Saccharomyces cerevisiae S288C: one gene and its partners. Changing the gene in region 1 together with any one later gene gives a genetic interaction. Each region holds a gene or a part of one and is shown on either strand. Other genes may lie near its edges.

Region 1 (3,759 bases):
TTGGAATCTGCTTTATTTTCCTTCTTTTTCAAAGAAGTCCTGTTTTGCTGGATAACTAATTGATCTAATCTTAACTTCTGGGTAGCCCTTTCTAAAATTTTCTCTTCCACGGAGTTATCTGTGACCAAACGGAATACCTTGACCTGCTTCTTCTGACCAATACGATGCGCTCTATCCATTGCTTGTAAATCTGCTTGTGGGTTCCAATCTGAATCATACAAGACAACGACATCTGCTGACGTTAAATTGATACCTAACCCACCTGCACGTGTCGTTAATAAGAAAACAAACTTCTTAGAATCAGGAGCATTATAATCATCAATGGCTTGAATTCTATCTTCGTGAGCGGTGGAACCGTCGATCCTGCAATATTCATAGTTTCTGAAGTAGCAATAATCCTCGAGAATATCCAATAATCTTGACATTTGACTGAAAATCAGAACTCTAGAACCTTCTTCCTTCAATTTCTTCAATAACTTATCCAAAACTTGAAGTTTGGCAGCGTTATAAACCAAGTGCTCATCCGTAGTGTACGGTGGACCTGGCTCAGCACCATCGAATAAATATGGATGATTACAACATTTTCTAAGTTGCATCATGATATTTAAAAGTCTTGTTTTGGATTCCTTGCTGCCATTAGACCCGTTCACAGCGTCCAGATCCTTTTCCAAAATCTTTTTGTACCATTTCTTCTGCATGCTAGACATACCGACATATAAATTCAGTTCCTTTTTAGGCAGTAAGGATGTTTCCACATCGCTTTTGATACGACGTAGTAGAAAAGGCTGTAAAACAGTGTGGAGTTGCTTGACAATTTTATCCTGATCTTCCTCTGTGCTTTCAGAAGAAAACCAATCGTCGAAATCTTGTGCATCGGAAAAGATATCTGGTAACAAAAAATTTAATAACGCCCATAGTTCATGCAAATTGTTTTGCAAAGGAGTACCAGTAATCAACAGCCTATTACGTGAGGTAAATTCCCTTAAGACTTGCGAAAGCATTGACTCTTCATTCTTGATTCTGTGAGCCTCATCAATGATAATATACTCCCAGTTAATCTTCTTAAGGGGCGACTTTTCTCTTATAATAATTTCATAAGAAGCAATCACAACATCAAAGTCACAACCTAAAAGTTTTTTTTGGATCAGTTCAGCTCTTTCTTCTTTATCTCCTTGCAAAATAAAGGCGTTTACGTCTGGCGTCCATCTATTTATTTCTCTCAGCCAATTATTTAAGGTAGACTTAGGCGCAATGACTAAAAATGGACCTGGAATTTTTTCAATGTACCTAAGATATCCCAGAAATGAAATAGTTTGCAGGGTCTTACCTAAACCCATTTCATCAGCAAGGATACCCGCTATTTTGTTCTTATGCAGAGACACCAACCAGTTGACACCTTGGATTTGATAAGGTCTCAATTGACCATTAACGTAAGCAGGTGATTCTCTGAATTGGAATTCAATGCTCTCATCATCATCCGAGTCTTCTTCTTTCAATAATTCCGCATCTTCTTCGTGTTCAGTCTTTCGTCTACGAACATCTTGGTGTTTGCCTTTGCCTTTGCCATTTGCTTTATTTTCTTCTAATACATCTAAGACCTGCCTGAATTTGGGATCTTTAGCGGCTTTACTTTCAATAAAATGCTTGAATAAACCACTCAAGGATAGCAGATGTTCAAATCTTTTTGTAGTGCCTTCCAGATCAAACTTTTTACCATTAGCATCCTTCAGCAGGTAACGTTTTTTATTCGATTCAGGATCATGTGGAGGGAGACCGACCTGGAACGGTTTTAAATTCTCCAAGTACTCTTCTGAAGCAGTCATAATTGAACCAGATGAAATACAATCGTATTTTTTTTTTTCTTGCAAAAATATGGCGAGAATAATTTTGAATAGGTTCTCATCTTTGTCCTTTTCATTGCAAGAATTGTTTTCGTGTTTTTTTCTCATTCTAGTATAGAACTTGAAAAAGTGAAAATTTGCAATAGCTAACATATAGGCCATAATAGGGTATTTCTACATCCACCTCTAGCTGGTTTTTGCATAGCTATACATATGGACTCTATTCAAGAATCAGATGTACTAAATGCAGTGAAAACAAAACTACCGCCGTGTTGTTTGAGAATATTCAGGAATAAGATCATCCTTGTTGGGACGTATGATTTAGATAAGTCAACTGGATACAGGTCAGGCTCACTGGATGTCTTCACAATGGACCTCAAACTTTTATGTTCGAATAATACGTATGGCGCAATCCTAGATTTGAAGTTATCCCCCTTTGATGATACATTGATATGCACGGCCCATTCGACAGGTAATATCATGCTATGGAGGATACGGTGCACAGATAAGGATGATTTCCAATCAAACGAACTAGATATTCATGCAATTGCAAATCTACAACTCTTTGAAAAAGATGTTCTCATTGCCTCGTGCCATTTTTCCCCACTTGATTGTAAGAAATTACTTGTAACAAATACGGCAGGCGAAGCAGCTACCATTGATATAAGAACACTATCTGTACAGTTCACGGCATCAGCAATCGCGCAGGCTTACTCAAAACTAGATAAAATAGATTACGAAGTTCAAGGTGCAACCGAAAAAGTCATTCATGTTGAATCGGGACAATTTTTGAAACCCCATGAACTCGAGTGTTGGACTGCGGAATTTGGATCTCTACAGCCTTTTCAAGACGTTGTATTTACAGGAGGTGATGATTCGAGAATTATGGCCCACGACTTACGTTCCAAAGAATTCATTTGGAGTAATAATCGTATTCATGATGCTGGTGTTGTTAGCATTAAGTGTAGTCAACCTAACTTTCGAAATAATAAACCCACGTCCATAATAACTGGATCCTATGATGATAACATTCGTTCTCTGGATTTAAGGATGATGGGTGAGTCCATATTTCCTGGTGCAAATGTCCCCACAGTTAATAAATTGGCGTGTGATCTTGGTGGCGGTGTTTGGAGATTTGTTGAATCCCCCATTGATCAGGAACAATCTCACCACAACGGCTCCGATCGGCTTTTAGTTTGTTGCATGTACAATGGTGCCAAGGTGGTGACCATGAATGATAATTCCGATGAGTATTTTCAAATTCAACATTATCTGAAGAAGGGCCATGATTCGATGTGTTACGGTGGCGACTGGTCAAATTCTTTGATCGCAACATGCTCATTTTATGATAATTCCTTGCAAACATGGATAGTTTAGAAAAAAAAATTCAGTCTGCAATATATGGACTAATATATAGGCTAATATATAGGCTAATATATAGGCTAATATATAGGCCATATTTTGATGATTTCGATAGATTATGCATAAAGAATTGATAGGAAGGAACTTGCCTGAACAATAATCTTTTACTCTATATTTTCTACTTATTATACATGATTCAGAAGCTTTGTTGAAAGGGGGAAAGACCGAGCGATATAAAATTGATGAAAAATTGATATTACAGCATCAATTGACATCAATCATTAAATCATCATTAGCTTCCTGTGGATCAACAAACTCCCTGCTGGCTCCTGCCAATAGTTCTCTTCTAATCTCAGGACCGATATCTTTATGGCCTCTTTGACGAACAGTTTCCAACAAGAAATCTCTCTGATCCTGGGTAATATCGTTCTTGTAACGTTGTGCAAATGTTAAGAAAGCCTTGTGCCATATCACTGGGAGTACTCTTGTAGCATCTTCCCCATTACTACCGTCATCCAAAATTCTAAACCTCATAAAGTAATACACGCAGTCGTCC
Region 2 (3,759 bases), on another chromosome or scaffold:
AGATGCCAATAATTGAATCCAAAATAGACGAGTCTCACGATGATGTTAACATGTCTGAATCTTTGAAGGAGGAAGAAGCGGAGAAAGCGAAAGAACCACTAACCAAAGAAGACCAAATAAAAAAATGGATAGAGGAAGAAAGATTGATGCAGGAGGAAAGCAGAAAATCAGAACAGGAAAAAGCTGCCAAGGAAGATGAAGAAAGGCAAAAGAAAGAGAAGGAAGCCAGATTGAAGGCAAGGAAAGAATCTTTGATAAATAAGCAAAAAACCAAGAGGTCCCAGCAAAAAAAATTGCAAAATTCCAAATCATTGCCTATCTCTGAGATTGAGGCCAGCAATAAAAATAATAATAGCAATTCTGGTTCAGCAGAAAGTGATAATGAAAGTATAAACAGTGATTCTGATACGACTTTGGATTTCTCTGTGTCTGGTAATACACTAAAAAAACACGCTTCACCCCTATTAGAAGACGTTGAGGATGAGGAAGTTGACAGATACAACGAGTCCCTAAGCAGATCTCCCAAGGGAAACTCTATTATTGAGGAGATATAATGGGTGATAATACATACTCCCCATCTTTCATTTTTACGGCATTAAATAACTAATTATATGCATCTTATATACTACTATAATTCACTGACTTTATGAAAGGAATATAAATCGGCACGGCAGAAGGCGGATTTATTTTGTTACAATATAACAAAATAAAAGGGCAACAGTAAAGTAGAAATTATTAGTATCCGTGATTTTAGTACAATTATTTGCTTCCTAGAAATCCGGTTTTCCATGTTAACATTTATGCTAGTATTTTATGGTGGAATGGCAAGTGATTCACAAAATACAAGCTACTTTATCGAATGATTGAAATTCATTTCTGCTTGAATAGAATTCAACTATCGTTTATCGATTCTATTTTGAGGATTCCTATACCCTCGAGGAGAACTTCTAGTATATTCTATATACCTAATATTACTACTGTTATTAACAATGGAATCCCAACAATTATCTCAAAATTCACCAATATCTCAATTCCATCTTTAGAAAAATTAAGTTCAAATTAACGGAAACAGTAATCAAGTAAAAGAGCTTTTTTTTTCTTCTCCCCTTCCTGCCCTGAAGATAATTGAGTAAATGTTACGTTGAGAATGGCTTTTTGATATTTCATTAGATTTACTTCATTATTCTTCTCTATTCTCCCCTTTCATCAATTAATTGGGCGTGTGGCGTAGTCGGTAGCGCGCTCCCTTAGCATGGGAGAGGTCTCCGGTTCGATTCCGGACTCGTCCAAATTTTTTTACTTTTAATGAGGTATACTGGAATATTACGGCTCTTTTTTTTTAGAAACATATTCCTCAAATGGGTAAACGGACCCTGGTGCAAGGTGTGGGTGCTGAGACAAATACGATCTGAGTTGTTTTAAAAAGGAAAACAAATGAATGCGTGCCCAAAGCGGAAAATTGGTCAACATCGATGCGTAATTAGTAGGCCCAGGTGAGCCTGTGCCGAACATGTATCTCTGCGCAGATTACTATATATTCCCGAGCATAACAGCATATAGTTTTCTTTCACATAGGCCTTCCTCCAACTGCCATCACTGTACATAGACGTTTCGGCACTGTATATTCTTGTCCCTTTTTTTTTGCCTACTACATTGCTGCATTCAAACGATATCGCTCTGCGAACCGTTTAAAACTGACCAAAATAGGGAGACCTACCTTCTAAGGAGAAAAAATTCGCATTGCTAAAAAAAAGCTAAAAGAGAAAGAGAAGAAGAATATTAAACCAGTATATTCTACTACAACTATCGATTTACTCCGACTACAAAGTGCCTCTTCGTATTTTCAGTCGCTCGAAAAAACAACCCATATTCCATTTGATTCTACGCAGCTGGTAGAAACTTTTACAGGTTTGATAAAATTATTACAATCGTTAGCGGTTACGCAAGGAATAGGAAATAAAGAAACGGTAAATAATAAGAAAAACACAGCAGATCTAAGCCTATTGCACACAGTATATTATAACCATTACTAGCTAGTGTTACATAAACAATAGCAGAATATGTCTGTGCGAAACCTCACCAATAATCGTCATTCCAACAGCGAAAATAGTGTTTCCGGAAGCGAAAACTCCTTTTATTCCTCGAATGAGCAATCAAGACAAAGCTCATCATTAGAACCTGCAGATGGTCAGAACGTTAGGGTGAGCGGTAATCCTTTCCTTGGAAGTGAAGAATTTGACGAAGATTATAATTCACCCAGTGGAGACGATGAGCGGCGTGGGGCAAATGAATATTCCAGTTCTTCATCCATAAATTATAATAACGATCCTAACAGCGATACTTCTCTTCTGGCTAATGAAAAGAACTCACCCGAGAGAAATGGTCAAAGAATGTCAGACTATAAGGGCTATTATGCTAAGACTAACCTAACTTCTGCTAATAACTTAAACAATCATAATAACAATAATTATAAGAACATTATAAGCAGTAGTAACGATAATAGTTTTGCATCACATTTACAGCCGCCGGACAGAAACTTACCGTCTCATCCTTCTTCAAATAATATGAGTAGCTTTTCTAACAACAGCTTAATTAAGTCTCCACCACCTTTTGACAGATATCCGCTAGTAGGAACGAGGCATATTTCAGCGGCTCAATCTCAGTCGCAGAACCTTATAAATGAAAAGAAAAGAGCGAATATGACTGGCTCATCTTCTTCTGCTCACGACTCTTCATTATCATCCACCAACTTATACATGGGCGAACAGGATTTTTCGCCCTTTGGCGGTTATCCAGCTTCCTTCTTTCCGTTAACGTTGGACGAAAAGGAAGACGATGACTACATTCATAATCCAAATGTCGAGGAAGAAGCAAAGTTAGATAGAAGGAGGTTCGTTGACGACTTCAAACACATGGATAGAAGATCTTTCTTGGGGCTTCTGGGTATTCTATTTTTATTTATGGCTGGTATATTTATTTTCATTGTATTACCTGCAATTACATTTTCCGGGGTAGTTTATCATCATGAACATGTTCATGCGGCAAATTCAGCAGGATCGTCGTCTTCTAATACTACATCCAAGTCATTGACTGAATATCAATATCCTCAACTTGCGGCTATAAGGACAACTTTAGTTGATCCAGACACACCTGACAGTGCGAAGACAAGAGTAGCGAAAGATGGATCTAAATGGCAGCTGGTGTTTTCCGATGAATTTAATGCTGAAGGTAGGACCTTTTACGATGGCGATGACCAGTTTTGGACAGCTCCTGACATCCACTACGACGCTACGAAAGATCTTGAATGGTACTCACCAGATGCCGTTACAACTACAAATGGTACCTTGACGTTGAGAATGGATGCATTCAGAAACCATGACCTTTATTACAGATCTGGTATGGTACAGAGCTGGAACAAACTCTGCTTTACAGAAGGTGCGTTAGAAGTTTCCGCGAACCTCCCTAATTATGGTCGAGTTACAGGATTATGGCCTGGTATGTGGACCATGGGGAACTTGGGCAGACCAGGTTATTTGGCGAGTACTCAAGGTGTTTGGCCTTATTCATATGAAGCATGTGACGCTGGTATAACACCAAACCAAAGTTCCCCAGATGGTATTTCTTACTTGCCGGGACAAAAGTTGAGTGTTTGTACTTGTGATAATGAGGATCATCCAAATCAGGGAGTTGGAAGAGGCGCACCGGAAATAGATATTTTAGAAGGTGAAGCTGATACAATTTTGGGTGTTGGTGTTGCGT
Region 3 (3,686 bases), on another chromosome or scaffold:
AGCCACAGAAACATAAACGTATCCTCAAGAAGTCTTCGAGCTTTAAGTCGTTTCTCTTAGTCTCGCTTTCACAGTGTTACTGCTATCATTTCTTCACTCCTGGAGGCAAACGGATATTCTATAGAAGAAATTGGATGAGGACAAAATGTGTTGTTGCAACTTTAACTACGTGAGAAAGGTGAAAGTAAGGTATTAGAAGAGAGGACACAAGAGTTATAATATCAGTAACTTTCGAAGTGGGTATCTCACATGGTTTTGATTGGGGTTCTCGATTGTTTTGCCCCCCTGGTTTATTCATTTTTCATAACAATGCCAAGAACCGTTTTTAGGTTTGATTTCTCAGTTCCCTTGCGTTTCTTTCTCTGGAAATTTCATGATAGAATTACAAATTTGGATATGCTTGTTAGTATATGATACAATGATGGAGGTGAAAATCAGATGGTCCTATAAATAGTTTTTCGAAATCCATCGATGGTAGGGAACAACAAGAACAAGCACCCTCCTGTTTTTTTAAAACCCTTTCTGAAAAACACACAATTGGCTGCCCTTTCTATGTAGTGAAGAATCCTTTTGGAATATGAGCGGTACTTTAGGTGAACCTTTCAGCAATTGAAAGGATGCTGATCTTCTACTTTGAGTATTGGTGGGATTTAGGATTGCTTGATGTGTTGTTTTTACTAAATGTTGGTGGATGTTGCATGCTGTCTGGCGCATGAATCATTTGGTATTGTGTTTGAGCCGGGGGATTCATACGAGGAGCTGGCAAAATATAAATGCCATCTAGGTTCTTGTTGGTTGTGGAGGTGGTTATGTTTACATTTGGAGGATTAATAGAATCTGTGACTGGTTTTGGTTGTCGGTAATCATGCACAAGTATATGGTGTACTGGGGGCATCATTGTTGGGGCGATAGGCGCCTTAGAGTGATTGCATTCAGGACCCGACCTCGAAGAGTATGGATCGATATTTTGGTATGGTATTGGGCTCAATGTATTGGAGGAGTATATCACTGAAGGCGACACGCCACGCCGTTCATAAGGTGCTGCAGTAGGTTGTTGCGGGAGAGTATTGTATGTATTGCAGAAAATCATAGGTTGTGAGACCGTACGTCTCAATCCAGGCTGATAGTTAGGATTGTAAACACCAATTGGTTGTGGCTGGTGCTGCATATACGGGAGAGGTAATTTATTCTGTTCATCTATGGGTAAGAGATATTGTTGCTGTTGTCGGTGCTGCTGTTGGTGCATTTCTCGAGGAGCGTTATTGAAGGTGGTTAAAGGTAACTGAACTGCGGTCCTAACTGGAATATTTCCAGGATGGTTGTTATAATTGCTCAAGAGATCACAATAGCTCGGAGAAGATGATAAAGACCTGCGCGTTTTATAATTATGAGCTTTGGTTCTGCCTCTCTCATTATTTTTAGACGGGTTAGATCTGCCATTTCCTACAGCAACTTTTTGTAAAGCATCTAATAGTTTCTGTGAAGGTCGAAATTTATGGAAGAAAGGATTTTCTGAAGGTCTCCTCAAACTTCCTTGATGAATATCCTTTTCCGTATAGTACGCAATAAGATGAAATGTTTCCAGCTTAGTGCTGTCGGTGGGATCCATATTGAATTTTAGAGAAAATGTTTTTTTCAGTAGTCCAGTATAAAAATACTTCCTATGAGCCCTCTCGAAGATATTATACTCAGGTACATTATGCAGCGGTAGATCGTGCGTGGAACCCAGCCTATTATACTCTCTATATACGAGAAATTTGCCTGAAATTCTTGAAGGAGACCAAGAAAAACCATCTGTCCATCTTTTGATGCCGGATTTCTCTTCGTTGAAAACAAAAATGTTTCCGGGGTTGACTAATTCAACCTTTTCTGCATCATATGGCCTCCGTTCGATGCATCTCAAATTTCCATTGAATACGCCCTGGAAAACAAGGGCTAGATCTTGCTCGTCGTCGATGTACCCATAACAGGTAGGGCTGATATCCATCATTCTTACGCTTACTCGTCGATCTCCTTTTCCTATCTATTGTTTGATTAATTATCTTAATTCGTGGTTCCCTTTTTTCTCGCTTTATTTGTTTGTTTTGTTGAAGAAGGGCTTACAAGAATGTACGTATTAAATAATAATTCATACAAATAAACAGGGAATGATACATAGTAGTTCTCCCGCAGCAGCTACGTATGAATTACCCGCCTACCCGGTACTATAAAGAAAGAATAAGTGGGCGTCGATTATGAAGATTTACTAACTGCAATTATCATTTTTTTGATTTTCCTCAGTCCCTTAGGTGCGTTTTTGTGTTAATGCCTATTTTTTTTTTCTAGGCTTTCTTCTTCACTTCCTCTTTCCTCTTGAATTTTGAGGAATATACGACCGAGAAAAAGACAGACTACTTAAAAAGTTGCCAGAGTGATTAAAGTTCCGGGAACAAGGCTAAAATACGTTTACAACATATTCTTCCTTTTTTTTCCACATAAAAAGGTTAATAGTCATAGTCATATGTTAGCGTGATTTCAACTTAAAATTAGAGATTATTAGATAATTTTTTTTTAAATGACGGCCAAGAAAGTGAAAGTCTAAAAGGAACGTTTATCGCTTAATTTCTCTCTGCCTCAGATTCATACGTTGTTAAGATCTTTAAAAGGATGGCCTTTGCAGGATACTGAGGTTTATGCTGGCGCGCCTGTGCGGATTTTCCAGATTCAAAAAGAAAGTTTTCTTTTTTTTTTACATGGGAACTGCGTAGCCGCGAAGCACTGCAGGCCTTTCAGAGCAATTTTTGGCGCTGCCTTTTAAAAACTTACATTAAGGTTCGCTATTGCCGAAACGGAAGAGGCGGAAATTTAAGTATTCGTTAATTTTACGGTGGCGGTACGGTATATTCTGCGTAAGCAATCTGCGGACGGCCGGATTATTAATCAATGTTTGAAAAAAAAAGATAGCAGAAGTGAAGATTTCTTATTTTAACAGCGATAAGGTATATACATGAGGGAAACGAAATATTAAGCGGCACAATATGTGTTTTTTCTATACAAGTACATTCCTTTTTACGTTAAGTATGTGGCGCCGGAAGGAAGTATGGTGCTTTTTTTTTCTTTAGGGCTTGTGCGTGTTCCGCTAGAAGCACATTTCTTTCTTCTTTGTCTGTATAACTACTGTTTCTTAGATCGATCAGTCTATCATCCCATACAACTGGTTCGAAATGACCGACCCTACGTGGAATGCTATTCAGTAGTTCCTGTAGTTCTGCATAGTATTCCAGGTCCTTTCCCTTTGGGAAGTTGTGCGTTCCGCAGGCATTAGAGTCGAAAGTTGTAGTTATCGGTAAGCTTTTACAGAATACTTCGACCATAATAGCCGCCTGTAGTTCCGACAACGGGAACGGGATGACCAACTGCGGGGTCAAGATAAAGGACAGCGTAGGATCTTTTACATAGATCATGTGCTCCCACAAATTGTGCAGATTGACAGACGAGTGCTTGTCGCCAGTAACACCCTCACCTAGCACTTCCAGTCTAACGGAGGGCTCTATAAATGGAAAGCTGTAATAATAGCCTGTGGCGAAAATAATGTAGTCTATATTCTGAAGTACTCTTCCATCAGATAAAGTAACTGAACGATTTTTCCAATCGGCACTGTCTATTGTTTGGACAGTCTCGATTAACTTGGCCTTCAGTTGATTGCT

Evidence for each region.
Region 2: mutations in RRT2 (region 1) and SKN1 together harm fitness more than expected from each alone (negative genetic interaction), as found in Saccharomyces cerevisiae (one large-scale study listed by BioGRID).
Region 3: mutations in RRT2 (region 1) and ROF1 together harm fitness less than expected from each alone (positive genetic interaction), as found in Saccharomyces cerevisiae (one large-scale study listed by BioGRID).

Annotation. Positions count from the first base shown.
Region 1 is NC_001134.8:709,537-713,295, forward strand, and holds RRT2 (diphthamide synthase), read left to right. Parts: upstream 1-2,054; coding exon 2,055-3,218; downstream 3,219-3,759. Other genes in the region: chromatin-remodeling ATPase ISW1, read right to left, coding at 1-2,003; snoRNA-binding rRNA-processing protein ENP1, read right to left, coding at 3,468-3,759. UniProt on the Saccharomyces cerevisiae protein: Catalyzes the demethylation of diphthine methyl ester to form diphthine, an intermediate in diphthamide biosynthesis, a post-translational modification of histidine which occurs in translation elongation factor 2 (EFT1 and EFT2).
Region 2 is NC_001139.9:773,133-776,891, forward strand, and holds the start of SKN1 (beta-glucan synthesis-associated protein SKN1), read left to right. Parts: upstream 1-2,060; coding exon 2,061-3,759. Other genes in the region: BTN2 (Btn2p), read left to right, coding at 1-554. UniProt on the Saccharomyces cerevisiae protein: Required for synthesis of the major beta-glucans of the yeast cell wall.
Region 3 is NC_001140.6:454,895-458,580, reverse strand, and holds ROF1 (Rof1p), read right to left. Parts: upstream 1,991-3,686; coding exon 629-1,990; downstream 1-628. Other genes in the region: FMO1 (N,N-dimethylaniline monooxygenase), read right to left, coding at 3,054-3,686.